Anolis sagrei: one gene and its partners. The protein of the gene in region 1 purifies or fractionates together with the protein of each later gene. This does not show direct contact. Links are inferred from orthologs where the notes say so. Each region holds a gene or a part of one and is shown on either strand. Other genes may lie near its edges. The genes, in order: RCCD1, SPAG9 and KDM8.

Evidence for each region.
Region 2: the proteins of RCCD1 (region 1) and SPAG9 purify together in Homo sapiens (affinity purification with mass spectrometry; 3 studies listed by BioGRID and IntAct, counting the BioPlex papers as one, with this or other methods). This does not show direct contact. The link is inferred for Anolis sagrei from reciprocal best matches to the Homo sapiens genes RCCD1 and SPAG9.
Region 3: the proteins of RCCD1 (region 1) and KDM8 purify together in Homo sapiens (co-immunoprecipitation; 3 studies listed by BioGRID and IntAct, counting the BioPlex papers as one, with this or other methods). This does not show direct contact. The link is inferred for Anolis sagrei from reciprocal best matches to the Homo sapiens genes RCCD1 and KDM8.

What each region holds. Positions count from the first base shown.
Region 1 is NC_090029.1:22,677,450-22,687,566, reverse strand, and holds the start of RCCD1 (RCC1 domain-containing protein 1), read right to left. Parts: upstream 4,417-10,117; 5' UTR 4,381-4,416; coding exon 3,984-4,380; intron 103-3,983; coding exon 1-102. Other genes in the region: UNC45A (protein unc-45 homolog A), read right to left, coding at 9,656-9,919. UniProt on the Homo sapiens protein: Plays a role in transcriptional repression of satellite repeats, possibly by regulating H3K36 methylation levels in centromeric regions together with KDM8.
Region 2 is NC_090022.1:114,443,906-114,453,832, forward strand, and holds the start of SPAG9 (C-Jun-amino-terminal kinase-interacting protein 4), read left to right. Parts: upstream 1-5,114; 5' UTR 5,115-5,293; coding exon 5,294-5,599; intron 5,600-9,927. UniProt on the Homo sapiens protein: The JNK-interacting protein (JIP) group of scaffold proteins selectively mediates JNK signaling by aggregating specific components of the MAPK cascade to form a functional JNK signaling module.
Region 3 is NC_090034.1:22,510,102-22,520,153, reverse strand, and holds the start of KDM8 (bifunctional peptidase and arginyl-hydroxylase JMJD5), read right to left. Parts: upstream 4,631-10,052; 5' UTR 4,525-4,630; coding exon 4,453-4,524; intron 2,446-4,452; coding exon 1,927-2,445; intron 224-1,926; coding exon 57-223; intron 1-56. UniProt on the Homo sapiens protein: Bifunctional enzyme that acts both as an endopeptidase and 2-oxoglutarate-dependent monooxygenase.

The DNA of each region.
Region 1 (10,117 bases):
CGTGGCCCAAGACCAGGTGCCGAGCACGAAGGGAGGCTGGAAGCGAGTGGAAGAAGGGTGGTCGTGGCACCACGAAGCCCCCGGGGACCAGAGGCAGCCCACCTGTGAAGAGACAGAGAGAGAGGTGGAGGGGCAGTGCAAGAGAAGACCACCACCACCACCCCACCTCGGGAAAGAAAAAAATGTAAGGCGGGTGACACTTGACTCTAAGGCATTATTACATATGGAAGGGATCAAGGGGTTTTAGTGGGCCCCAAGCTGACCATGAACCAACACTGTGATGCAGCAGCCAAGGAGGCCAATGGGACTGAATATGTTTTGATAAATTTTAACTGATTTTTTAAATATCAATAATACTCAACCCTATTTTAATGTTTGTATATTTGTAGATTTTAAACCTTATCGCAAAGCTTTTAATGTAAGCAACTTTCAGTATCTTTGTGGAGAGAAAAAAATGGGGCATAAACAAACATATTAATAATATTCATTGACTCCCTCTAAGAAGTGGCTTTGGGAGCTGGGGACGTTTAGTTTGGAGACATGGAGGCTGAGAGAAGGGGACACAGAGCCAGGTCTGAATATTCAAAAGGTTTTCATATTGAAGAGAAAGGGGCAAGGGTTGATTTCTGCTGCTCCAGAGACTGGGACCCAATGGAGCCATGGGTCTAAATGGGAGAAAAAACATTCTGTCTAAAGATCAGGAAGCATCCTTATGGTCTGCTCAGCCCCAGAATATGGGTCCAGTGGAGTCTCTGGAGGCCTTGAAGCAGGGATTGGATGTCCATCTGTCGGGAGGACTTTGGTAGTACCTTCCTTTCTGGCGGAAGGGTCCCTTCAACTCTAGGATTATTATTATTAAGCAGGGGCTGGACAGCCATTTGAAGTGAGAGCTTTGATGGTGCTTTTCCTGCATGAAGGCAGGAGGCTGGACTGCATGGCCTCTGGGGATCCCTTCCAACTCTGAGGTTTCTATTATTATTATTATTATTAGTAGTAGTAGTAGTAGTAGTAGTATTCAGGGGCTGGATGGCCATCTGCAGGGAGGGATTTGACTGTGTTTTGCCTGCATGAAGGCAGGAGGAGGCTGCACTGGATGGCCTCTGGGGATTCCTTCCAACTCTGAGGATCCTATTATTATTATTAAGCAGGAGGCAGGCATAGAACTGCTGGGAGGGCTTTGATGGTGTCTTCCTTTCTGGCAGAAAGGGGCTGGACTGCATGGCCTTTGGGGAGCCCTTCCAACTTCTATTATTATTATTATTCAGGGGCTGGACTGCCATCTACAGGGAGGGCTTTGATGGTGCCTACCTTCCTGGCGGAAGGAGGTTGGACTGGATGGCCTTTGGGGATACCTTCCAACTCTGAGGATCCTATTATTATTATTATTATTAAGCAGGAGGCAGGCATAGGCATGTTGGGAAGGCTTTGATGGTGCCTTACTTTCTGGCAGGAGGCTAGACTGGATGGCCTTTGGGGGACCCTTCCAACTTTTATTATTACTTGAAACACAACAAGATGTGTCCACAGCAGACACTCTGCTGGCTGTTGAATTAGATCACACATCGGACACTTCCCAAGTGTCTAGGACTGGGTGATGTATTGGCGAATAATGCATGAAGATCCCATCATCATCATCATCATCATCATCATTATTATTATTATTATTATTATTATTCAGGGGCTGGACGGCCACCTGCAGGGAGTGCTTTGATGGTGCCTTCCTCCCCAGCAGAATGGAGCTAGACTCGATGGCCTTTGGGGGCCCTTTCCAACTCTGGGATCCTATTATTATCATGATGCTTCAGCAGCTGGGCATCAAATCATCCGGGCAATGTCCCCTGGGCAACGTCCTTGCAGACAGCCAATTCTCTCACACCAGAAGCGACTTGCAGTTTCTCAAGTCGCTCCTGACACGACCAAAAAAAAAAAAAAAGCTGGACGGCGATTTGTCGGGAGGGCTTTGATTGTGCCTTCTTTCCTGCCAGGAGGGAGCTAGACTGGAGGGCCATCTGTTGGGAGGGCTTTAATGGTGCTCTTCCTGCATGAAGGCAGGAGGTTGGACTGGATGACCTTTGGGGATCCCTTCCCACTGTAGGATTGTATTATTATTATTATTCTTCAGCAGGGGCTTCTTCTTCGCTTCTGTGCCTTTCATCTCAAGAACAGAGAAACATCCCGAGCTTTGAAGATCACCTGGGAAGGAATCCCACTGGAGCATTGCAGCGCACCCAAATACCTGGGAGTCACTCTGGACCGTGCTCTTACCTACAAGAAGCACTGCCTGAACATCAAGCAAAAAGTGGGTGCTAGAAACAATATCATACGAAAGCTGACTGGCACAACCTGGGGATCACAACCAGATACAGTGAAGACATCTGCCCTTGCACTGAGCTATTCTGCTGCTGAGTATGCATGCCCAGTGTGGAACACATCTCACCACACTAAAACAGTGGATGTGGCTCTTAATGAGACATGCCACATTATCACAGGGTGTCTGCGCCCTACACCACTGGAGAAATTACACTGTCTAGCCATTATTGCACCACCTGAAATCCACCAGGAAGTAGCAGTCAATAGTGAAAGGACCAAGGCAGTGACGTCTCCAGCTCATCCCGTTTGGGTATCAGCCAGCACGCCAATGACTTAAATCTAGACATAGTTTTCTAAGATCTACAGAGACACTCGCTGGAACACCTCAGCAAGCGAGAGTCCAAAAGTGGCAGGCTCAAACCCAGCACCTCAACCAATGGCTGATACCAAATGAGAGACTCCCCCCTGGGCACACAAAGGACTGGGCGACTTGGAAGGTGCTGAACAGACTGCGCTCTGGCACCACGAGATGCAGAGCCAACCTTCAGCAATGGGGCTACAAAGTGGAATCCACGACATGCGAGTGCGGAGAAGAGCAAACCACTGACCACCTGCTGCAATGCAACCTGAGCCCAGCCACATGCACCATGGAGGACCTTCTTGCAGCAACACCAGAAGTACTCCAAGTGGCCAGATACTGGTCAAAGGACATCTAATCAATTACCAAACTCACAAATTTTGTATTTTGTCTGTTTGTTTGCTTTGTTTTGTTAGAAATGTAATATAATTTGACTGGTTGTCCTGACACGACAAATAAAGCAGGGGCTGGCGAGAGGGAGGGCTCTGAATTCAACAGTGACAAATGCAAGATACTCCACTTTGGCAGGAAAAACGAAATGCAAAGATACAGAATGGGTGACAATGCCTGGCTCGAGAGCAGTACGTGTGAAAAAGATCTTGGAGTCCTCGTGGACAAGTTAAACATGAGCCAACAATGTGATGTGGCGACAAAAAAAGTCAATGGGATTTTGACCTGCATCAATAGGAGTATAGTGTCTAGATCTAAGGAAGTAATGCTACCCATGCTCTATTCTGCTTTGGTTAGACCACACCTGGAATATTGTGTCCAATTCTGGGCACCACAATTCAAGAGAGATATTGACAGGCTGGAATGTGTCCAGAGGAGGGCGACTAAAATGATAAAAGGTCTGGAGAACAAGCCCTATGAAGAGCGGCTTAAGGAGCTGGGCATGTTCAGCCTGAAGAAGAGAAGGCTGAGAGGAGATATGATAGCCATGTATACATATGTGAGAGGAAGCCACAGGGAGGAGGGAGCAAGCTTGTTTTCTGCTTCCTTGGAGACTAGGACGCGGAACAATGGCTTCAAACTACAAGAAAGGAGATTACATCTGAACTCGAGGAAGAACTTCCTGACTGTGAGAGCCGTTCAGCAGTGGAACTCTCTGCCCCGGAGTGTGGTGGAGGCTCCTTCTTTGGAAGCTTTTAAACAGAGGCTGGATGGCCATCTGTCAGGGGTGATTTGAATGCAATGTTCCTGCTTCTTGGCAGAATGGGGTTGGACTGGATGGCCCATGAGGTCTCTTCCAACTCTTTGATTCTGTGATGGGGCCGGGCTGGATGCCCTCGGGGTTCCCCTTCCCCTCCCTCCTCACCGCCTTGGCGTTCCTGGCGGGCAAGGCCTAGGGCTTCTGTGGGCGCGAGGGGCCTCCTCCATTGCGGGTCCAGCTCCAGGCGGCGCCCCTTCCCGGCTCCCCTCACGGCCCACGCCTCCAGGGCCGCCTTGCGCGCCAACACCACGTGGCCCTCTCCCGGAAGTGCCGCCACGCAGTCGCCCGGGAGCTGGAGTGAGGCGCCGCCGCCGAATCCGCGCAGCTCCACCGAACCCTCCGCGGCGGTAAGGGCCACCAGGCTCCACCCGGGCCTCACGCGAAGCACGGCCCCTTCTTCCTCCTCCCGCAGCGGCTGCGGTTCCAGCGTCGCCTCCGGGCCTTGCCACGCTTCCCAGCCGAACCCAAAGCGGAACCACGCACCCTTCCAGGGGGCCGCCATCTTGCCGGAAGTGGGGGCGGGGCCACTGCGTGACGCACTCTCTCTGGGCGGAGCCTACTGCATGACGTATTCTTTCTGGGCGGGGCTTCCTCAAAGGCGGAAGTGAGCCGCACTTGAAGATTGGGATGGGGGCGTGGCCTACTATGTGGCACGCCCCCTGGGCGGGGCTTCGCTCACCCAAAGGGGGCGGTCCCTAAATGACTTCAGAGGAGGAAACCTTGCCCACAAATCCATAATAATGACAGTATGGAAGACTAGGATTGTTGTACCTGGGTGATAAATGTTATTATTTCCTAATTTAGTTATTTATTATCTATATGCCGCCCTTCTCACCCTGAAGGGGACTCAGAGCAGCTTACAAGTAATATGTAAACATTATCTATCTATCTATATAAAAATGGAAAGGGTGTTCAATGGGACACCAAAACGCGAAAACTCCGCAACGAAAACTCACCAAATTTGCCGTGCACATACCTCAACCCACAAGGTATGCACAACACTCATCAAAATTCCAAACAACATTTCAACAAGCTCACAATTACAAAAACCAACTGAGTATGCGCAGTGCCCAGGGGAGGAAGTACACACGCAATGCACTCTGGGAACTGTAGTTCTAGAACGCGGCCTGCTTGCTGGGGGCCAGGATGCTGCGCGAACGGAGAAAGGAAGCAAGGAAAGAAAGGAAGGAACGAGGGAAGCTGAGAAGGTATATGAAAGAAGAAAGGTAGGAAAGAAAGAATACAGAGAAGTAGGATGGGAAAGAAGGGAGAAAGGAAGGACGGAGGAAAAGAAAGGGGAAGAGAGGGAAAAAAGCGAAGGAAGAAGAGAAAGGGAGGGAAGAAAAGAAAGAAAGGAAAGGAAGACTGGAAGTCAAGAGCGAAGGAAGGAAGGAAAGAGATAGAGAGGGGAAAAAGGAGAGAAAGAGGAAGGAAAATAAAAAGGGAGGAGGAAGGAAAGGGGAAGAGAAGGAAGGAGGAGAGAAGGAAAGAAAAAGGGAAGGGAGGAAAGACGGAGCAAAGGAAGAAGAGAAAGAAGGAGAGAAAGAGAGAGGGAAGGAAAGAAATAAAGAGAAGGAAGGATGGGAGCAAAAAGCTAAGGAAGGAAGTAAACAGGTAGAGAAGGAAGAAAGGAAAGAAGAAAAGGAAATTAAGGAAGGACTGAAAGAAGGAGAGAAAGAGGGAGAGAAGGTTGGCCACAGCAATGCGTGGCAGGTAAAGCTAGTATCTATATATAAATGCTCTGTGCATAATGAGTACCTTAAAAACAAAAAGAACCAATGAACGAAATCACACCAAATTTGGCAACAAAACGTCTCACAACACAAGGAGTGGCCATCACTCAAAAAATTATGATTTTGTCATTTGGGAGTTGTAGTTGCTGGGATTTATAGTTCACCTACAATCAAAGAGCATTCTGAACCCCACCAACGATGGAATTGAACCAAACTTGGCACGCAGAACTCCCATGACCAACAGAAAAGACTGGAAGGGTTTGGTGGGCATTGACCTTGAGTTTGGGAGTTGTAGTTCATCTACATCCAGAGAGCACTGTGGACTCAAACAATGATGGATCTGGACCAAACTTGGCACAAGCACTCAATACGCCCAAATGTGAACACAGATGGAGTTTGGGGGAAATAGACCTTGACATTTGGGAGTTGTAGTCACTGGGGATTCACAGTTCACCTACAATCAAAGAGCATTCTGAACACCGCAAACAACAGAATTGGGGCAAACTTCCCACACAGAACCCCCATGACCAACAGAAAATACTTAAGGCCATCCAGTCCAACTCCCTTCATCAGGGCAAGAAAACATAATCAAAGTCCTCCTGATAAAGAGCCATCCAGCCATAGATAGATAGATATTCACACACATATATAGTATCATAGATTTGAAAGGGACCCTTAAAGAAGGAGAATGATATGTTCCATGTTCCAGGGTGGGCAAACCAGACACTCTCCACATCAACATTGACAAAGAAATAGCAAGAAATACCATTTACCCACAAGCATAAAGAAATTACATATATTAGAAATCAACACTTTCTAATTACTTTATTTTCTAGACCAACAGACTGAACCACAGCAACGTGTGACAGGGGACAACTAGTATATTATATTATTACCATAGCACAATATTAGTATTATATATTACTATATTGCACTATACCATTATAATGTAATATTACATGTAATATAACATATATAATTATATTATAAGTATATTGTATTACATTATATTATCAATATAATATGTATATACAATATATTATATTATTACCATAGCACATTAATGTTATATATTACTATATTGCACTAAACCATTATACTGTAATATTAGTAATATTACATGTAATACATGTAATATTACATGTAATTACCCTAGGTAATTTTCAATGGTAAGCAGACAGTATTTTGCCCCCCCCCCCCAAACCAATTACTGATATATATTTTCTGTTCGTCGTGGGAATTCTGTGTGCCATATTTGGTTCAATTCCATCATTGGTGGAGTTCAGAATCCTCATTGATTGTAGGTGAACTATACATGCATATGTCAAGGTCTATTTCCCCCCAAGAGCGCCTCAAGAGCGCCCCTGGGCAAAATCAACTATACTGCAAATGCTTACTTTGCGTAATGGGTTGAGCCGCCCGTGATGTAACATAACATATATAATTATGATATCATATTTTAGTATTATATTGTATTACATTATAATATTTTCAATGTTATATGTATATACAATATATTATATTATAATTGGTTCTATCACAGGCCTGAGTTGGCCATCTGCTGGGAGGGCTTTGCTGGTGCCTCTGCGTGGCAGAAAGCAGGGGGTCAGGCTGAATGACCTTTGGGGGTCCCAATTTGAGGATTCTGTGGCTATGGCTTCCATAAAACTGCTATTATGGGGCTGGAGGGCCATATATTGGGAGGGATTGGATTGTGTCCTCCTACTTGGCAGAAAGGGCTTGGACTAGATGACCTTTCGGGATCCTTTCTAATTGATTACACAAAAACAATGTTTCTGCGAGTTGAGCAACTCTTTCAAAGTAAGGACCGCACATTTAAATAGGAAATAACACTTTCAAACCAGGCACAGAATATTTTTTCAAATTTTGTTAAGTTGCAACGTAACCCTTTCAGACCCAAAGAGACAAAGCCCCGCGATTGTGCAAAAAAGTGCCCCTTTATTTGTGTTTCCAAGACAGACTGAAGGCCTCTGTAAACAAAGAGATAGTTATACATATTTCACAAGGAATCTTGCACCTCGACGGCCTGTAAACTGTTCCCGACCAACCAACTTTGTCACAGTGCATTTGCCTGTAGCATATTTTGTGCTTTGTTTGTGAAGCTCTTGTGTTCCTCCCTATTCGAGGCCATTGGGCACCAAAAGAAGCAGGCACTTGGGTCCCGTCTCACACTGCCACCCCCATTGCATATTCATATACATTTCATATCAGTCTTTGGAGAAATGAGCAAAATCCACATTACAGGAAAAGAGGCCAGCCCTGCTCCCTTTGCCCCCATCAGCAATATGCAATAAATAAACCAGGGCTAGCCACAAGGAATGCTTAGTAGCCAAGGAATGCAAGAAGCCAAAACTGGGAGGAAATGGGGGGCCAGTGCAGCAATGAGGGGGGAACCCCTCCATGCAACTGGGGAGAATGAAATTTAATAAATATGGATTTTTAAAAGATGTTATAAGAAAGTTTCGAAATGGAAGACTGAGACAGGAAAGAGGGAACTGGACAAGTTGAAAAGAAAGCTGAAACTCTTCACTAAATAAAACAGAGCACAGCAGGAGTCTTAGGCCCCTTCTACACTGCCATATAATCCAGTTCAAAGCAGATAATTTGGCTATTGGTGGTCCACATTCTTGTTACATCTCAAATAGACTACTGCAATGCATTCTACATGGGGCTGCCTTTGAAGACTATTCGGAAGCTCCAAGTAGTCCAACGGGCAGCAACCAGGCTGCTCATTGGAGCAACATACAGGGAGCATACAACCCCCTTGCTACGTCTGCTCCACTGGATGCCAGTCTGCTACCAAGCATAATTCAAAGTGCTGGCTTTGGCCTATAAAGCCCTAAACAGCTCCAGTCAACTTACCTGTCCAAACATATCCCTCCCTATGAACCATTTAGAGCAGTAGTTCTCAACCTGTGGGTCCTCAGGTATTTTGGCCTACAACTCCCAGAAATCCCAGCCAGCTTACCAGCTATTAGGATATATGGTAGTTGAAGGTCAAAACATCTGGGGACCCACAGGTTGAGAGCCATTGGGTTAGAGAGTTAAGATCTGCAAGAGAAGCCCTGCTCTTGGTCCCACACCCATCACAAGCACAGCTGGTGGGGATGAGAGACAGGGCTTTCTCAGTGGTGGCTTCTCAGCTATGGGACTACCTCGCCAGTGATATCAGACTGGCCCCCTCCCTCCTGATTTTCAGGAAACGAGTGAAGACCTGGCTTTGGAATCAGGCGTTTGGGGTGTGCAATACGGAATCAGCACAATGTAGCACACAAATGGCAACTTTAGGACATATTTTAACAACTTTATGGTGTTTATATGTTTTTATTGCTATATGATGTATTGTACTGTCGGTTGTTGAATGTGCGGAACTGAATATTGCCATATTGTAAGCCGCTCAGAGTCCCCTGCGGGGTGAGAGAGAGCGGGATGGAAATATACTAAATAAATATAAATATATATGGCAGTGTAGAAAGGGCCTCAGATATGGAATTGAGAAGAGGTGAGAGTAGGTAAAAGGGTTTCAAAGGACTTTTATGGCCCAGAGAGAGGAAGCGCAAGAAGGAAAGAAGAAAGGAGGGGGATCGTTGCGAGGAATGGCTGTAAAAGGTTAGATAAAAGGCACCAGAGAGAGAAGGATACATGGAACAGATTTTAAATAAGAAAAACAAAGCTTCATGCGCAGGTTTTTGCTTCTGACTATACAAAGGACTGAGCTGCATCTCAGATTGGGTGGCGCAATTTCTTTCATTTGCTGGTCACCCTCAAGTTTTGCTCTGATCAGAAATAAAGCTGTATTTTGGATCCCCTATAATTGGAACAAATAGGTACTAGGGACTCACTGAGCCCCAACACAATGGCCCCAAAGTGCAGGTGAGGAGGTAGCAAAGAAGGTAAAGAAGCAAAAGGCATGGCCAGTGCCTGACCAGGAAGTGTGGGCCCCCTGTTTCCCACTGCCGGGCATGCAAAAAGCCCCTTCCCCACAGTGTTTGTGCCCCCACCCCTCCAATGCGATGCCCTCTCTCACTCCCCGGCATTGGCACCCGGCTTGATCAACCCAAGGCTCACGGCCTGCGCCATGCAGTCCTGGGCCACTTGGGCCACCCGGGGCTGGTCCTTCAGGCCGCAGAGGGCCGACAGGATCTCCATCGTCTCCGTCTCCATCAGCTTCGCTGCCAGCTCCTTGTCTGCCGCCACCATGTTCCTGGCGACCACTGCACCCCGGTGCTGGAGGGCACTGTTGGGGCTGAGCAGGAGGGCCTGCAGGATCTCCAGCCAAGCCTCAGTCTTGGGGGGGGGGGGGGGGGAGAGTGAGGAAGGAAATGAGATGAGGTAGGATTATTATTATTAATATTATTATCATTATCATTATTATTGACACAAAAGCACAGTATGTCACAGCAAACGAAATCTATATGCTATTATTATTATTATTATTATTACTATTTGAAATACAACAAGATGAGTCCACAACACACAAGATCA
Region 2 (9,927 bases), on another chromosome or scaffold:
CTTCGGGAATGCTGATTGCGGAACGCAGGCGCGGGAGGATACCACTGAAGTAATTCAACGCAGGGGGACACACAGATAAACACTGAAGGAATGTAACAGTTCTTTCATGACAAATGATAAACAGCAGTTTGGGAAACGGTTCGGGAAGATTTTCAACGGGATAGAAATCAGCAATCTGACCCAAAAGATTATTAATCCCTTCCATGTTCTTCTCAGCCCACATCCAGGCTGTCCACAAACTGGAGGGCGTTGCGCAATAATTCTACATCCCTGCAAAAAACTCACGGCCAGCTCTATTGTCCAAAACTCCTCAATAAAGTGGATTAGATTGATTTTACACCACTCCTCGTATTTCTCCCCTCCTTTCTATCCTTCCTTCTATTGCAACTACGAACTATCTTCCCGACTTTGTCCCCTCTGTGTTTCTCAGTCTGCCCCCTCTCACAACCACGTGGTCGGACATGTGTTTCCTTCCCTCATTCACAACCGCTGTTGCGCTATCAGCGTAACACTAGCAGCACTGGGTCCCAGCTATCATACTATCACTGCAGTTACATTGTGTGGGGGCAGAACAGCCATAGATTGTGCAAGCCTATTCTACATTGCCGACATAGCATTCATATTGTCACTATGCAATAACTAGGGGTGTTGCTGCATGGATTTAGGGGGTGGGGATAGTGTTTAGCAAATGACAACGTAACTGGCATTTGATAATGGAGTTGTCTTAGAGTTGTGGGTTCAAAGTATTGCTGTACTTGCTTTCCAAACAGCACAGTCTTTATTTCTTGGTCGCTGCTGGGAGTGCACTGAAATACATCTTCCTTAAGCTGGTCCAGAGGCTGTCTGGCACACAGAGATCATAGGATCAACCTCTCCAAGGCAAATGCCCTTAAATAGCCCTAGTGAATGACTGCTTGTAAGGCACCTTGACCCATGATTATGTTCTTACTCAATGATTAAATTTTACTCTGAATCATGAAAGGAAACATTTCCAGGAATTTATATCTCATGTTATCCTTACATGATTTCTTACTACAGAACAAATCTCGTACAATGTTGCACTTTGGGCATGGTCGAAGGAAACATGATCCTTTCCTTCAGCTATCACCAACATACGTATATTTTGCCCAAAAGCATGTGACAGTAAATATTCATGTTTCCTGCTTACCAGCTTGGAAATTTTAGAATAGAGGTCTATAGTTTATTAGGAAGGTATCAATTTATTTAAGCCACACAATTAATCCAAGTGGTTTCTAAATCTGGGTAAAATGATAAACTCCCAACAATAGGACTCAAGTTCTAAGGTGGACAGTAACATCTGGAAGGCTGCGGTTTGTTCTGTTTAGCTAGGATAGTGAGGTTTGTGGATATGATGTCTGACTGTAAAATGTTCTTTAACCTTTCCACAACCTCAGAGCCACAAGTGCTGTTGGGATACAACTCCCATTATCCCCAATCTGCATGGGGGAATCACAAAAGTGATGGGAGCTGTAGTTCAATAACATCTGGACACACAAAATGAGTAAAAACCGAAGAGCGCCTAAGTAAAGGTAAAGGTTTCCACTGACATTGAGTCTAGGCATGTCTGACTCTGGGGTGCTGCTCATCTTCATTTCTAAGCCAAAGAACCGTCGTTGTCCATAGATGCCTCCAAGGTCATGTGGCTGGCATGACTGCACAGAGAGCCATTACCTTCCCACAGAAGCGGTACCTATTGATCTCACATTTACATGTTTTTGAACTGCTAGGTTGGCAGAAGCTGGGGCAAACAGCGTGAACTCACCTGACTCCCTGGATTCGAACTGTTGACCTTTCAGTCAGCAAGTTCAGCAGCTCAGCGGTTTAACCCACTGCACCACCAAGAGGCTCGAAGAGCACCTACCACTATAATATATATATATATATAGTTGACCCTCTATATCCATGGATTCTCAAACTAACAGCAATTTGAAGGCAACCATAAGGCTGAAGTGGCCCTCAGTGAAAATATGTTTGATAGCCCTTGTCATGCTCTAGGACTTGGTATATTCACTGACATGCATTTGTGATACTGTGTCTGCCTTTGTAGTTTGACCCTCTTGGCTTTCTATACCTCTAGATGTGGTGTAATAGCTCCTCCTTTCTCTATCAGTGCTATACTTGTTCTGAAGAGAAAACATGCCTGCTAAGCTCCTGGGAATTTCTAATTTTTCACTTACTGTTGTATTATTTTTGACAAGGTTTACCTGGATTAAAGCATCTGGAACCTTAGCTTCGTCTCTTCATTTGAGTTGAACACTGTCTGACAACATATATCTGGTGTAAGTACTGGTTAAATAGAGATAGCTACAGGACACTCCCACAACCTTACACTCACAGCCAAGCTATTGAGTCAGAATAGCCCTGCTCTAAAGGCGTCAACTCCCACCTGAAACTAAACAGAGTCATGTCAAGTGATTACTTGGACGGGTGGCTACTCACAAACCCATCCAATTTTGCTTTGATTGAGGAAACTGAAATGAATGAGATTGCCAGAAGTTGAGAGGTGACTTGAAGGCATAGAGCAGTGTTTCTCAACCTGGGGGTTGGACCCCTGGGGGGGGGGGAGGGGTCACGAAGGTGGTTACAGAGAGGTCACCAAAGACCATCAGAAAGCACAGTATTTTCTGTTGGCCATGGGAGTTCTGTGTGGAAAGTTTGGCCCAATTCTATTGTTGGTGGGGTTCAGAATGCTCTTTGATTGTAGGTGAACTATAAATCTCAGCAACTACAACACCCAAATGTCAAGGTCTAATTTCCCCAAACTCCACCAGTGTTCACAATTAGGCTTATTGGGTATCTATGCCAAGTTTGGTCCAGATCCATCATGGTTTGAGTCTGCAGTGCTCCCTGGATGTAGGTGAACTACAACTCTAAGACTTAAGGTCAATGCCCACCAAACCCTTCCAGTATTTTCTTTTGGTCATGGGAGTCCTGTGTGCCAAGTTTGGTTCAATTCCATTGTTGGTGGAGTTCTGAATGTTCTTTGATTGTAGGTGAACTGTAAATCCCAGCAACTACGACTCCCAAATGACAAAATCAATCCCCCCCAACCTAACCTGTATTCAAATTTGGGCATATCAGGTTATCAGGTATTTGTGTAAAATTTGGTGTAGTGAATAAAAATACATCCTGCATATCAGATATTTACATTATGATTCATAACAGTAGCAAAATTGCAATTATGAAGTAGCAACAAAAATAATTTCATGGTTGGGAGTCCCCACAACATGCTGAACTGTATTAAGAGGTTGTGGTTTTAGGAAGGTTGAAAATCACTGCTCTAACAATTGGACTCAAGTTCTAAGGTGGACAGGAACATCAGGAAGGCTGTAGTTTCCCCCCCGTTTAGCCAGGATAGTAGGGCTTGTGGATATAGTGCCTGACTATAAAATGTCCTTTAACCTTTCCACAACCTCAGAGGCGCAAGTGCTGTTGGGATGCAATTCCCATTATCCTTAGTCTAAATGGGGGTGGGGGAGGGTAATCTAAAGTGATGAGGGCTGTAGTTCAATGATATAATAATATAATATAATGTAATACAATATAATAATATGATATTATAATTATATATTTTATATTACGTGTAATATTACTAATAATAGTACTGGGACTGTGGTGCAGCTGGCTGGGAGTTAGCTACATTAAAGATCACTACTGACTGAAAGGTCATGAGTTTGAAGCCAGCCTGGGTCAGAGTCAGCTTCCGACCAATTTGTGTAGCTTGCTGTCGACCTTTGCAGCCTGAAAGACAGTTGCATCTGTCAAGTAGGAAATTTAGGTATCGTGTATGCGGGGAGGCTAATTTAACTAATTTATGATGCCATAAAAATCTCCAGCAAGCATGCACAGAATGAGGAAGTACTTCATCAGTGTCACAAATGGACAGTGAAGTGACAGCTCCCCTGGTGGCCAGAATACCCTCATCAAAAGCTGGAATGTTAAATAGCCTCTGTGTGTCTGTCTATATATGTTGTGTGTCTATGGCATTTAATGTTTGCCATGTATATATATATTGTAATCCGCCCTAAGTCCCCTGCGGGGTGAGAAGGGCAGAATATAAATAGTGTAAATAAATAAATAATATAATGGTATAGTACAATATTGTAATATATAATACGGACATTGTACTTGCTAATAATATAATATATTGTATGTATATGTATCTTGTAAGCTGCTTTGAGTCCCCTTCGGGGTGAGAAAGGCGGCATATAAATGTTGCAAATAAATAAATAAATGAAATTTGCACACCCAAAATGAGAAAAAAACCTGAAGAAATGCCTAACATCATGTGTGTGTGTGTGTGTGTGTGTGTGTGTGTGATATATATATATATATATATATATATATAGGCCCCCTGTACCTATGTACGTCCAACAGACTTTTAAAGGCAACCATAAGATCGATTTTTTTTCCACAGTGAAAATGTGTTTGATAGCCCTAAAGGCTTCAACTCCCACCTGAAACCAAACAGAGTCATGTCTGGTGATTACCTGGATGGGCGGCCACTCACAAAACCACCCAATGTTGCTTTGTCCGAGAAAACTGAATTGAACGGGGTTGCCATTCTCTGACAGGTGCCTTGAAGGCATACAGAGTATAAACAGGTCGAGTCTTTGCTTGTGGAGACTGGGATGCAGCAGCCTTTCTGATGGGTCTCCGAGGGCTCCCCTGCCCTTCTCCCTCTCTGACAAGACTTGGCCCTCTTTGACACTGGCAGCTATGTCAGAAACACAGGAAGGACGGGGAAGACCCTCACAGGCCTCCGTCCAAAGGGCCTCACGTCTCCCAAACACACTTTTTGTGGGGAACCTGAGACAGGTTGGAGGGGGAGAGTGCTGCTCAGGAAGCACAGAGGTATAAACCAGCAGATACTCCAATTTGGGAGCATTCCGGCTCTCCTGAAAAGCGGGACGACGTCGACGCCTCCCTGTCCTAGTTCTCTCCTCGGCCCCGCCCTTCGCGGCGTGACGTCAGGCAGCGTCGACGCTCCGCCCCCGCTTGGCGCCCCACTAGGAGCGCGAGCTGGCGCGTCGGCCCCGCCCACTGCAACGTCACTGCCCCGCGCCCCCACCCTCCCTCCGCCCCGGCGCCGTGGGTGAGGTCAGTGCTGCGCGCCTGTCAGCCAGGCTTCCTTCCTTCCTTCCTGTTTGCGCGGAGGGGGAGCCGAGGCCCCGCCGCAGAGGGAGAGGCGCTGCTGCTTGTTGCCACCGCCGGGCCCTCTCCCGCCTCCGAAGGCCGCCCTCCTCGCCTCCCGCCCCTGCGCTCGGCAGCCATGGAGCTGGCGGACGGCGTGGTCTACCAGGAGGACCCCGGCGGTCCCGGCCCGGCCATGATGTCGGAGCGGGTGTCCGGCCTGGCGGGCTCCATCTACCGCGAGTTCGAGCGGCTCATCGGGCGCTACGACGAGGAGGTGGTGGCCGAGCTGATGCCGCTGGTGGTGGCCGTGCTGGAGAACCTGGACTCGGTCTGCGCCCACAGCCAGGAGACCAGCGTGGAGCTGGAGCTGCTGCGCGACGACAACGAGCAGCTCCTCACCCAGTACGAGCGCGAGAAGGCCCTGCGGAAACAGGCCGAGGAGGTGAGCCCGGGGCCGAGGGGGGGGGGGGGAGAAAGGGGGGCCTTCGGGGTGCCGGTCTGGGCGGAAGGGCCCCTCCTTCAAGGTGGGAGAAGGGCAAGAAGGGAGCCTTGGTGGAAACGAAGCCCAACGGGTTCACCGTCCCGGCCTTGACTGTGGCGAAGGTAGACCTGATGCTGCCCTGGGAAGCTCTGCAACTTCGTATTGTCGAAAGATTTCATGGCCGGAATCATTGGGTTGCTGTGAGTTTTCCGGGCTGTACGGCTATGTTCCAGAAGCATTCTCTCCTGACGTTTCTCCCACATCCATGGCAGGCATCCACAGAAGTTGTGAGGTTTGTTGGAAACTAGGAAAGTGGGGTTTATATATCTGTAAAATGTCCAGGGTGGGAGAAAGAACTCTTGTCTGCTTGAGGCAAGTGTGAATGTTGCAATTGGCCGCCTTGATTAGCATGTAATGGCCTTGCAGCTTTGTTCTGTTAGAAATGTAATATAATTTGACTGGTTGTCCTGACACGACAAATAAATAGGTTCAAAGCCTGGCCCTATTTGATTCTTGTCAGGAATTCCCCTGCTTTTCCCCCACTGTGGACATTCCACAGATATATAAACCTCACATGCATAGTTCCAACAGGCCCTCTCAATCTCTGAGGAGGCCTGTCATAGATGTGGGCGAAACCTCAGGACAGAATGCTTCTGGAACATTGCCATACAGCCTAGTAAATTCACAGCAACCCTCTGCAACTTTGTTTGCAACAGATTTTGGCCTCATAAGATCGAGAGAGACCTGGCCCTGCTTTTAAGAGAAGCCACGTCACAGAGCCGAGAGAAGCCTCCTTGCTCCTCGGACCCAGCCTAAGAGTTCGCACTGCCCCACCTTGGCCTGAGGGCATCATGTCTTGTGGGCCTGTCAGAGAGTTGGTAGGCTGCTAGGTTCAGATTTCTGGAGGAACACCTGGCTAAGAGGGGTCTGCTGGAAAAGTTCTGTTGATCTCTTTCAGGGCTTCTTTTCAGGAGCACCTGACGGGCTTTAGTGATTCGTAACTGTTACATGCAAACCATGCAGCATTAAGAAAAATAGAAAGGGATGCTTTGGTAGGGGTTGGTAATGTCTGGAATCAGGCAGCCTTCAGGGCTGACAACTTTTAACAAATCTGTCAAAGCAACAGGTAGTGTAAGAAGCATTCTTCATTGAAGTTCCAAAGTATTAAATACCAGTAGTAAGTGCCACATCATTAATTCAGTTTTTAATGTAACATTTGAGAACTATATCATGTACATTGAAAAATAAAATTATTACTGTCTGCATTGTCTATGTGTTGGGTCACAGCATTTTTAGAAATTGAGTAGATGTACCTTTTTTATAATATAGCTAATTTGAAGCAAATATGCAACACTTTAAGCCTGCTATTTTTCTCCTGCAGGACAAAAACCAGCTTGGCTGGTGGGAAGGTTTTGAATAAATAAATGGCAAGTGGAGAATGGATTAAGGAGTTTGTTACTCCCATAGCTCTTCAGGGCATCTTCTAGTTAAATAACACCCTATGCTGATGAAAAGAATCATACTATTTAGTGTTAGCCATAGCTTAGTCTTTGCCAGGGCACAAACTGGATGCATACAGTTCCAGTTTCAGTTGCTGCCACATCCAGTTTAATGTCCCTGGTGGTTGAATAAAAACCCTGACCAGCTGTTGAGCTCATATGCTTCTCACATGGTTTTTGTTTACTCTAAGTAATGCATTTTATAGGCCTGAAAGCAGAAGTAATATTTCCTTATTGTGGTGTAGTTAGTTTTGTTTTCAGTCTAGAAAAGAGAAGGAAATGTTCTGCATATGGTTCACACAAGGAAATTCCATAAATCTGGTTGTTCATTTAATGGTTCTGGTGTTTACAAATAGGAAATACTTTTCTAGATTTAGTGTGCCATATTGAAAATGAAAAAAAAAAATTGGCCTACATATCTCCTTTGACAGGTAGTAAAATGCCAAAACGTAACTAGATTAAAGTTCATAACTTAAGTAGCCTTCTCTATACTTTATTGATGAATTCACCAATGACTATGTTGTAGCTGCCTTTTTAGGTTCTATCTGCTCATTTGTAAACTTTTTTTTTCCGGTTGCAAGATGGCTTGTAAAATCTGTGACAGTTAAGGTTCATATATTTTAAAAACCATAAAGAAAAAAAGTGTTGCAATTAAACACATTAAACATAAAGCTGGTGATTATAATTACTGACTCTGCTTTCTTTGTTGTTCACCTTTGCCTATTTGCAAGCATTTCAAATTTATACTGGCAGTAAAATATGAATAATAATAATGATGATGATGATTTTATTTCTGTCCCATCTTTCTCCCTATAGGGACTCAAGGTGGCTAACAATACATGACACAACCCAATAAAATTTAAAACAAGGCAAATACATAAAAACAATTAAATATTTGTGTCATGGCTATAAGATTAAAATACAATAAAATATAATTAAAATTACATTTAAAGTTCAACATATCACCAAATCCCAAAAAGTCTCTAGGCCATGTCATTTTTTCCTGTTTTACTATTGTGTTATGTCATCATTATAGACGATTACTTGTGACAGAGTATGATTCGTCTTCCAAGAGTAAAGTCCGTAAGTGACTGTGAAAATTTAGTCTGAATCTGTATGGTCTTTTGCCTTGAGGACATCAATATCCAGATTTAAGGTTGTCACAACAAGTGTTTGCTTGACACTCCTTCCTCTTGGCACGTTTCTTCCTTTCATCCCCTATTTGTACCTCTTCAAAATCCATAGCATTATTGGTAACAGCTGGCCCCCAGTCAGAATTCTCTAGAGCAGTGGTTCTCAACCTGTGTCCCCAGGTGTTCTGGCCTTCAACTCCTAGAAATCCTAACAGCTGGTAAACTGGCTGGGATTTCTGGGAGTTGAAGGCCAAAAGACCTGGGGACACACGTTGAGAACCACGGCTCTAGAGCCAAGGCTTCCCAGTTCTCGTTGTTTATACCACATTTTTGTAAGTTAACTTTAAGCCCATGTTTAAATCTCTTTTGCTATCCACCAACATTCAGTTTTCCATTGTTGAGTTGAGAGTAAAGTAACTACTTTGGAAGACGTGATCGGGCATTCTGACAATTTGACAGTCCTGCAAAGTTGATGGCAGAGGATCATTGCTTCAGTGCTAGTGGTTTTTGCTTCTTCCAGAATGCTTATATGTGCAGGAGTTAGCATTGAGTGGACTTCTAGAAGGGAGAATAGTTGATAAACAGTAATGTTGGGTTTTGTCCTAAATGGAATTGCCCACTGTTGGGCTAATTTTTGCTTGCTTGTGCAGTCTTGATAGAAGCAAAAATCTATCCATTTTTGAGGTGTGCCTCTGCAACCTTTGGTACGAATGGAAAAACTATATCTGTATTGAGCAAAATTTGAAAATATGGTTGTGATATAGAGTATTAATATATTGTTATATGTCAGAAATAGCCATTGAAAACTTTTTTCAGTGGTGTCAGTTGTGCATCTTTTGGCACCTAGTGCATTATATTTACAACGATTTGTTGCTTACCCTTAGGACTCAACCAATCACATGCTTTGTATACAGAGGCCTGTGCATCATAACAAGGGTTTCAAAATATGTTGGGAAACATATTGGAGACCATGAGGTTACTGATACTTATAACAGTTGGACTGAGGAAAATGGGAAGATGTCTTGGAGAAATGTTGATTGTATATATTATTGTACAGTATGACACCAGTGTCCAAGAGGAATACAGTGCTTGCATGGAAACAAGAGACCTGGCTAATAGTGAGCTCTATAGAAATGAACAACTTCTGCCAGAAATTATTATAGAGTGAGCCTGGAGGACTTGGAAGATTCATAGATAGTATCCTTTCTAGGAACTTGCTAGATTCTTCAACGTGACACCATGATAATTTCTTATGGAACTATAACATAGACTTTCCTAGAAGACCTAGAAGATTCCTAGAGAGGACTTGTTTTGTCAGATGCAGGTAGGTGAAATCATGGACATCCATCCTACAGGTTGGGAGTTGTTAGCTGGCCCTGATTGTTTCTTGTCTGGATTTCCCCTGTTTTCTGAGCATTGTTTCTTATTCGCTGTCCTGATTTTAGATTTTTTTTAAAAAATACTGGTAGACAGATTTTGTTCATTTTCATGGTTTCTTCCTTTCTGTTGAAATTGTCCAGATGCTTATGGAGTTCATTGGTTTCTCTGTGTAGTCTGACATGGTGATTGTTAGAGTGGTCCAGCATTTCTGTGTTCTCAAATAATAAGCTGTGTTATCAAGTGCTCTGCTATGGCTAATTTCTCTGGTTGAATCAGT
Region 3 (10,052 bases), on another chromosome or scaffold:
GGGGCTGAAGCTACCTGAGCTGGAATTTATCAAAGGGCACCCCACCTGTTGCTCACCTCCACTTCTTCATGCAGGGCCAGTGGCTCACAATCCCCTCCAGGACCAGGGGCTTCTGGGGGACCAGGTAGTGGTCCCGGAAGTGCTCCAGCGATGGGCAGAGAAGGTATGGAATAGATGCCTCGCTCTTCATGGCGGGCCTCACAGGAAACTCCCTCTGGATCTTCTGCAGCAGGGAGCCAAAACAAGAAGAGTAATTTAAGCTGGGGTTCTGAGGCTTGCAATGCTCTGCTCAGAGATCATTTCCACTGCCCATTGAAGGGGTACAGAGCTAAAAAGAGGACCTGGAAAGGGAAGGGGAACAATTTTAAGTGGTGGATTTTAAATCCACATTTCATCAGTGGATTTTATCTTGTATTTTATCTCTTGTATGTCCTTTAAGTGTCTTATTTCTTGCTTTCACAATATTTTGCCCTGTTTCAAGCTGCAGGGAGAGGCAAGTAATACATTTCTGATTATGATCACTCTATTTACTCGAATCTAATGCTCACCTTTTTTTAAGCTAAATTACCTCTCCAAAATGAGGATGTACATTAGATTCGCATCATACAATCATCTTAGTGCTGAGCCAAAGCCAAAGTGGAAGCTGCTTCAGGAGCAACTGCAGCTCCTATATGAGGGACCTCATCTCCAATTTAATGGTCCTGGTTCTATGGGATCTTGGGATTTGTAGTTTGGTGAGGCATCCACATTATTTGGCAGAGCAGACTCGAGAACTTGTCAAACTACAACTCCCAGGATTCCATAGCATTGAACTAAGGCAATTAAAGTGGATTCATTCTACATGGCTGGAAGTTTTGGTGTTCTAACACTTTTTGTTTTTAAAGAAGGAATTCTGAGCAGGCAGCAACTGCAATGCACACAATTTTTGGCCAAATTATAAAGGGTTTAATTTTTGTACCTGTGCATTACATTTAGCAACAAATGTTTTTTTTTGTTTTTTTTTTTGTGGTTTGTTTCAGGGTTTTGGCAATTTGAGGTGTGCATTATATTTAATGATGCATTCACCTTGAGTAAATATGGGTGTTGTGATGTGGTTTTTGGGTTAGATGGCCACATTCTAGCAGCATCTTCTCCTGATGTTTTATCTGGATCTGGCTGGCCTCATCAGAGGTTCTGTTGTCAATGAGACAAGTGCAGTGTATATATTCCGATAGAATAATGTCCAGGGTGGGAGAAAGAACCCTTGTTTGTTTGAAGTAAGTGTGAATGTTGCAGTTAACAAGCTTTAATTAGTATTTGAGTAGCCATGAAGTTTGCAAAGTCAATCAATGAGCCATTGAAATCCACAAGTATGTGGACAAGTCCAACAAAAAGGAGAAAAACAAGGAAATTAACAAAATCCGGTTACCAGTATTAAAAGAAACACCAGAATTAAGACAGTAAATAATGACCACCACTCAGAAACAACTTCAGACAGCAAGCAATCAAGGTCCAGTTAACACCTCCCAAACAGAGGATGCCTCTAGGCAACAGAGGCCAGGCTACCTCTGTATATACCCTCACTGATGGACTTTGCAATCTTCATGGTTACTCAACTGCCAAGTCAAGCTTGCTAATTCCAACATTCACACTTACTTTAAACAGACAAGGGTTCTTTCTCCCACCTGGACATTATTCCACACTTAAATATACACTCCACTTGCTTCACTGCAAACAGAACCTCTGAAGATGCCATTAGCCACAGATGCAGGTGAAACATCAGGAGAGAATGCTGCCATAACACGGCCATACTGTCCAGGAGCCACACAACACCCTAGTGATTTTGGCTGTGAAACCCTTCGGCAATACAGGGAGGGAGGCATCTCAGCCGTGCTAAGGTGAGCCCCTGCTCCCAGCTTGAGGCTGGCCAAACTGTAAGTGCTGTACCTTGGGAGGGGGGGCTCCTTCCTCCTCCTTCTCTTTGTCCACTTCAAGGCCATGCAGGTGCCGCTGGAGGAGGCCAACCACCCTCTGCAAGGCGTCTCCCGGGAGTGGAGCTCCCAGGAGCAGGCCCAAGTCGCACTGGCGCAGGGCTTGGAGGGGTCCGCCCTGGGTGTCTTGGCAGCAGAGTCCCAGGGCACGGAGGAGGCATCCCCAGGCAAAGGCCTTGCGCCAGGTCCCCCGCACCTCCCTCCAAGGCCCCATGTTCAGCCGCTCCCAGCAAAAGTCGCAGGCTGCGCTGCTCAGGAACAAGAGGCGCCCAAGGCTGGGGTCCCCAGGTGGGAGCGGGCCCAGGAGCAACCCAGCCCCTTCCTCCAGTAGCCAGGTTACAGCAGGGTCCACCTCCTCTGAAGGGCCCAGGTCAAGGGTCAGGCCCTCCTTTGGAAGTAGTGCCAGCAGCGAGGGCCAAAGTGCAGGGGAGCCACCATCGCTCCTCTCCGGGGAACACGGGGCTCCTTCTTCTCCCTGGAAAAGAGAAAGAAAAGGGCCAGGGAAGGAAGATAGAAGGATAATTTGTTAATAGAGCCCTAGTACCTGCTAAGTAAATTTGAATTATTGTATAGAATGAATATATATACAGTAGAGTCTCACTTATCCAACTGTCACTCATCCAACATTCTGTATTATCCAACACAGTTTGCCTCCCAGCTGGATCCACGGCTGTTTCAATACATTGCGATGTTTTGGGGCTAAATTAGTAAATACAGTAATTACTACATAATGTTACCATGTATCGAACTGCTTTTTATGTCAATGTGTTGTAAAACATGATGTTTTGGTGCATAATTTGTAAAATCATAATGTAATTTGATGTTTAATAGGCTTTTCCTTAATCCCTCCTTATTATCCAACATGTTCGCTTATCCAGCGTTCTGCCGGCCCCTTTATGTTGACTAAGTCAGACTCTACTGTGTGTGTGTATTATTTTATTATCACGGATTCTTAATACATTTTCATCACATTATTTACACTTATTTCAGTTAGGTGCAGATATACATAAACCTTTTGTGCAAACATTTGTGATTCCAATTATTAGTATTTACACTGATTTTCGTTTGATGAAAGTACATCTAGGACATTTTGTACTTTTGTATTTTATATATCCTTTATTAACATTTACTACTATATTTTAAGCAAATATAATCTAACAGGAACAATCGAGAAGAACGTTTAAGAAGAAAAATAGGAGAAGAAATATGGAACAAGACAGAAAACATAAGAAGGTGATTCAGGAAGATAAGACTATTTGGTTCTATAGAAAGTAATATTCCCCTATTTGTTATGGAGGATAGATCAAACTTGCAAAACTTTAGCATCTCAAGTAATGAGTGTTATGGTAATAGAGACTCAGAACTAGATGTAACACAGCCAAATGTTATATGTTGTCTTCTATGTGATTTTCCTACTCATTGATTCACTAGATCAGTGTTTCTCACCCTTCCTAATGCCACAACCCCTTAATGCAGTTCCTCATATTGTGGTAACCCCTAACCATAAAATTATTTTCGTTGCTACTTCATAACTAATTTTGCTACTGAATCGTAATATAAATACCTGATATGCAGGTATTTGCACCCACTGCAAATTTGGCACAAATACCCGTTATGCCTAAATTTAATTGGGGGCGGTGTTGATTTTGTCATTTGGGAGTTGTAGTTGCAGGGAGTTATAGTTCACCTAAAATCAAAGAGCATTCTGAACTCCACCAATGATGGAATTGAACCAAACTTGGCACACAGAACTCCCATGACCAACAGAAAATACTGGAAGGGTTTGGTGGGCATTGACCTTGAGTTTGAGAGTTGTAGTTCACCTACATCCAGAGAGCACTGTGGACACAAACAATGACGGATCTGGACCAAACTTGGCACGAATACTCAGAATGCCCAAATGAGAACACTGGTGGAGTTTGGGGGAAATAGACCTTGACATTTGGGAGTTGTGGTTGCTGGGGTTTATAGTTCACCTACAATCAAAGAGCATTCTGAATTCACCAACTTGGCACACTGAACTCCCACGACCAACAGAAAATACTGGAAGAGTTTGGTGGGCATTGACCTTGAGTTTTGGAGTTGTAGTTCACCTACATTCAGAGAGCACTGTGGACACAAACAATGATAGGCCTGGACCAGACTTGGCACGAATATTCAATATGCCCAAATGTGTACACTGGTGGAGTTTAGGGAAAATAGACCTTGACATTTGGGAGTTGTGGTTGCTGGGATTTATAGTTCACCTACACTCAAAGAGCCCCTTTCTGATGGTCTTTGGCGACCTCTCTGAAAGCCCCTTCGCGACCCCCAGGTTGAGAAACACTGTACTAGATATTAATTAATATAAGGAGAGAGGGAACAAAAATGAAAGAGAGAGAGATGGGGAAAGAGCTACGGGGAAAGAGAAGGGTCAGAATGGGCCAAAGGCGAAACCAAGCCTCTTCCCTCCCTCTTGCCAGCGGCCTTCGTGTGCTCATGCCTCTTTCTCCGGGCTTCTTCGGAGAGTGGTCGGGGTCTCCCTGGCTTCCGACACAGGAGGTGTTTCCTCCATGGTGTCCCGCTCGAAGACCTAAGATGAGAGTCATTCCATTTTATTGACGTTTATGGGCGTCCTTCCTCATTCGCGCATGCGCAGTTCCCGAGTAGTAAAAAGACCTGATGTCGTTTGGGCCGGCCTTCCCTCCCAGCGCGCATGCGCGAGGCCTGGGTTAACACCCAGCCCTCCAGGTGTTTTGGACTACAACTCCCACAATTCCTAACAGCCTACCGGCTGTTAGGAATTGTGGGAGTTGTAGTCCAAAACACCTGGAGGGCCCAAATTGGCCCAAGCCTGGGTTAGAAGGTGCACTGCATGGAGCAAACTGCAAAGGGATTCCTTTTTCTTATTTATGAATGAAGATCTGCTGAGCTCCATCAAAGTGATGTTTGGAAAAGGAAAGGGATGAATATTTGAGATAGCGCTGGAAACAGTAATACATTTTTTTTTATTACCCGCCTCTCCTGATGGCTGGAGGCAGAGTACAAGAAATTCGAAAACAAACGAAGATAAAAAATACAATAAATTACTAAATTACATAGACAAACACACACACATAGGCAGGCACAAGTTTATTGTTTGTTGTTTATTCGTTCAGTCGCTTCCAACTCTTTGTGACCTCATGGACCAGCCCACGCCAGAGCTCCCTGTCGACCCTGGCCTCCCCCAGCTCCTTCAAAGTCAAGACAGTCACTTCAAGGATACCATCCATCCATCTTGCCCTTGGTCGGCCCTCGGCCCCTCTTCCTTTTGCCTTCCATTTCCCCCAGCATCATTGTCTTCTCTAAGCTTTCCTGTCTTCTCATGATGTGGCCAAAGTACTTCATCTTTGCCCCTTAGGCCCCTTTGCCCCTTAGCATAAAAGGAGGATGCCAGCGGAGGACCAGTCATACAGCACCATTCAAGACAGCCAAAGAAGACCTTGGGATAGTGGTTCTCAGCCTATGGGTCCCCAGGCGTTTTGGCCTGCAGCTCCCAGAAATCCCAGCCAAGTTATCAGCTATTAGGAATTTTGGGAATTGAGGTCCGGTGCATCTGGGGACCCATGGGTTGGGAGGCACTGCCTTCGGATCATGACAAGGGAAGGGGGAGGCCCTAGTAGGGTGCTTAAAGGATTGGTACAATGTGTTATCTGTGTATGGGGTTATTATGGTTTAATATGTTTAATGGTTTAAATGGTATTAAATGCTTATTGTTTCTAGTGATTTTATGTTATGTTTTATATGGTTTGTGTACCAAGGCATTGAATTTTTGCCTAGATGTATGTTGTATGCTGCTCTGAGTCCCCCGAGGGGTGAGAAGAGCAGGATAGAAATGAATTAAATAAATAATTGGATCTTGTCACGGTCCAAGGCACTCTCAGAATTTTCCTCCAACACCACAGTTCAAAAGCATCTATCTTCCTTTGTTCAGCCTTCCTTATGGTCCGGCTCTCGCATCCATAGGTTACTATGGCGAATACCATTGCTTTAACTATGTGGATCTTCGTTGTCAGTGTGATGTCTCTACTCTTCACTATTTTATCTGGAACACCTCAGTAAGCGAGAGTCCAAAAGAGGCAGGCTCAAACCCAAAACCTCAATCAATGGCTGATACCAAATGAGAGACTCCCCCCTGGGCACACAGAAAACTGGGCGACTTGGAAGGCGCTGAACAGACTGCGTTCTGGCACCACGAGATGCAGAGCCAACCTGAAGAAATGGGGCTACAAAGTGGAATCCACGACATGCGAGTGTGGAGAAGAGCAAACCACTGACCACCTGCTGCAATGCAACCTGAGCCCCGCCACATGCACAATGGAGGACCTCCTTGCAGCAACACCAGAGGCACTCCAAGTGGCCAGACACTGGTCAAAGGACATTTAATCAACTACCAAGCTTGCAAACTCTGTTTTGTCTATTTGTTAAAAATTTGTTAAAAATGTAATACAATTGTCTGGTTGTTGCTCTCCTCCCAAGAAGAAAACATCTACTGATTTCCTGGCTGCAGTCTGCATCTGCAGTAATCTTCACACCTACAAATACAAAGCCTGACACTTTGTATCAGATACTGAGTAATATCTGTTGCGCATCAAGCGGATCTTAGCCACGTCTCATGCACAAGACACACAGACCAGAGGAAAAATGAACAGAAAAATCTTTACTCTTAATAGCAGAGATGAAACACAAACTTGCAATGTTGCATACAAAAACAAACTGCAAGAAACTTACATAGTCTCTGTGAGTAACACAAAATAAGGCATCTTCATCTTAAGTCAAATGAGAGAGCAAAACATAGATCTTGAGTAAACGGCTATTCCACCATAGCCTCCTTTAGAGCAGCATAACAGCGTTCCTCAAAGAAAAAACTCTCCAGTACTGTATTGTAAAAACTCATACAGTTATACCCTATCGGATGTGGCCCAAGCTTGCTGGTTGGCCTACATTACCAGCTGCACATAATAATTACCATCATAAAGTTTTCCTTCAACACACACACACACACTTGGTTCTGCTACAACTTACTGTAACAATATCTGGTTACTAATATTAAAAACACCAGAATCAAGACAGTAATAAAGCACACCACTCAGAAATAGGCATTCCGGACAGCAAACAACCAAGTGCCAGTTAACACTTTCCAAACATAGGATGCGTCCAAGCAACAGAGGCCTGGCTACCTCTATGCAGATACTCCCACTGATTGACTTTACAGCTGCGAGGCAATTCAATGCTAATCAAGCTTGCTAATTGCAACATTCACACTTGCTTTAAACAGACAAGGGTTCTTTCTCTCACCCTGGACCTTCCACAGTATATATACTCCAATTGCTTCACTGCCAACAGAACCTCTGAAGATGCCATTAGCCACAGATGCAGGCAAAACATCAGGAGAGAATGCTACTGGAACATGGCCATTCTGCCAGAAAAACTCACAGCAACCCAAGATAGGTTCTATAGGTTTGTTCTTAAGTTGAATTTGTATGTAAGTCAGGACAGGTACATTTTTTCAGTACCTTCTCACAAACGCCAACAAACCCAGATCGAAGCCTGGTCACTTTCTCTCTCTCCAGCCCAACCTGGGGCATATTTTCAAAAGACAGCATCTGTTTGCTTGTATCCATTTATGTGTCATTCTTCCCCTGGCAAGGCTTTCCGGGTGACTCATAGCCAGCCGTATGGGCTTGTGGTCCAAGAAGCGGGGGGGGGGGGGGGGGACACATCCAGCCACATAGGGAAGGCAATGGGGCCAAAGGGGTACTCACCCCTGGCAAAGAACAGACAGTAAACGTTAAAGAATGGTCACAATGAGCAACCCCCCCTTTAGGCTGGGGAGGGGTGGATGGGATGTGTGCATCTGAGTTGCTCCCCTTGCATTTTGGAGTGGGGGGGGGCATTCAGGAGAGGGGTCTGTAATGACCAGGATGTCCCTGTCACCCTCTTCTTATTTTGTGTTTTTATCTGCACCGCCATCTGCTCCAAGGAGAACGGCAGATGTCGGGTCGTGCAAATGGCTCAGTTGTGTACTTTCATGTCGAACAACATATTGTCATAATTTCTCTGGTATTATGGGGTGGAACAATGAGGCCCATGGTAAGGTGACATCAGTCCCAATGTTTTTCTGGGGACGGGGGAAAGAAAAGGGAAGCCTTCTCCATCATCATCATCATTGTCATCATCGTCGTCATCATCATCACCATCATCCTGTCTTTGTTAAGTTTTCTGAAAGAGCTGGGTATGTTTTAGCCTGCAGAAGAGAAAGTTGAGAGGAGACATGAGAGCCATGTATAAATATGTGAAAGCATGCCATAAGGAAGAGGGAGGAGTCTTGTTTTCTGCTGCCTTGGAGACCATGACTCGGAAGAATGGGTTCAAATTATAGAAAGGAGATTCCACTAAAACATTAGGAAGAACTTCCTGACTGTAAGAACTGTTCAGCAGTGAAACGCTCTGCCCCAGAGTCCGGTGGAAGCTCCTACCTTGGAAACTTTTAAACAGAGGCTGTATGGCAATCTGTCAGGGGTCCTTTGATTGTGCTCTTCCTGAATGGCAGGGGGTTTGTCTAGATGGCTTAGGTGGTCTCTCCCAACTCTATTATTCTATTATTCCAGAGAGAGGATCTGCCTACACAGCTCCCTCCTCTGCCAGGATGGCCTCGCTCTGATCTACATTTCTTCCCACTTTCCTCCCATCCATTGCCAGGTCCAGGGCTGTCCTGGCTACTTTCCACTGATTGCCTCCTATATGGATCCATCCAGCCTCCTTTGACACTTTCATGGCCATTTTAGATGGGGCCAAGCCCCCCAAGGAACCAGCGCTGGGCCTCCCTTAGTCTGTGCTCTACTCTTGCTGCAGAGAGCCGTTCTGGTCTTTTCTGCCACTGTATGGCCCTCCCTATGAGCCCCCCACCTCTTGCAGCGTCTCTTTACTCTTACTTTTGAGACCCAGAGCCATGTTTGCACAGAGTTCCTGGGTCCCTTGACTTTGGCGTCTTTTGCTGTGTTTTAAAAACACTGCCAGCATCTGCATGTACCACAAATTAAATTAGGCTTGGATTTTATTATCCCTTTTATTTAATTTATCTTAACTGTTGCTTTCAAGCTGTGAACCAGCTGTTGCCTGTAGAAAAAAAGAATTTTAATTTGATAGGCGCCTTTTAAAGCGTCCCTATAAATGAAGTAAGTAATCACCATGGCCAAGCATGGAGTTGTTTTTTTTTAGGGGGGGGGGGAGCTATGGCCAGACCTCTTCCCTTGAATAATTGTGGCCATAGTTTGGGCAGGACCAAGGCTGGACTAATGGCTCATCAAGAGGTGGCCACTTACTAGCCACAGAGTTCTCTGGGTTTCAGAGAAGGTGCTGCCTTTGACCCCAGGGCCCCGACGGTGCTGATATGTGTCTCTCCTTAACATTTGGACACTGTCCCCACAAAACCACTCCATTGGGCCTTTATCTGAATGCGGATGTTCCCTGCCTCTCTACCTCCTTCCCATCTGAAGCACAGAGGCTCCAAATCAGTGCTTGGAATTGGAAATGTACCAGCTGGAAGTAAACAAATGGGAATTAAATCTGGGCAGAGGAGAGATTTTTTTGGGAGGGCTCTTCCGCATCTCACCCCATAGAAATGTATGCCTCTGGAGTGGAAGCCAGCATGTTCTGTAGGAAGGCAGGATTGCTGGGCAACCCTCGGCCCTGCCCAGTGCGTCTGTTCTGGGCAACACAAACTGGAGACATAAAGTGTAATGCCGTTTGAATTCCCAATGAGGTGTTCCCAGCAGACAGGGGAAATGACAGTAACATGGACATAACAATTGATAGACTTCACTGCCTATGGGGGTGCTTCAGTCCTCTCCACTGCCCTCTGTAAAGCCTCATTTGTCCCTTCTCTCTGAGACTGAGACTGGTCTGGATGAGGCTGCCATCCCATCCTAGAAGCCTTGGGCTCTCTCTATAGAGTCAGGATGGAGGGGCTAGGGGCTGTGGCCCTGGAATTTGGCGTCCCCCAGCCAGACCTGCCTTGAGCTCTGAGTGGTCCAGCAATCTCTGCCCATAGTGGCCAACCAA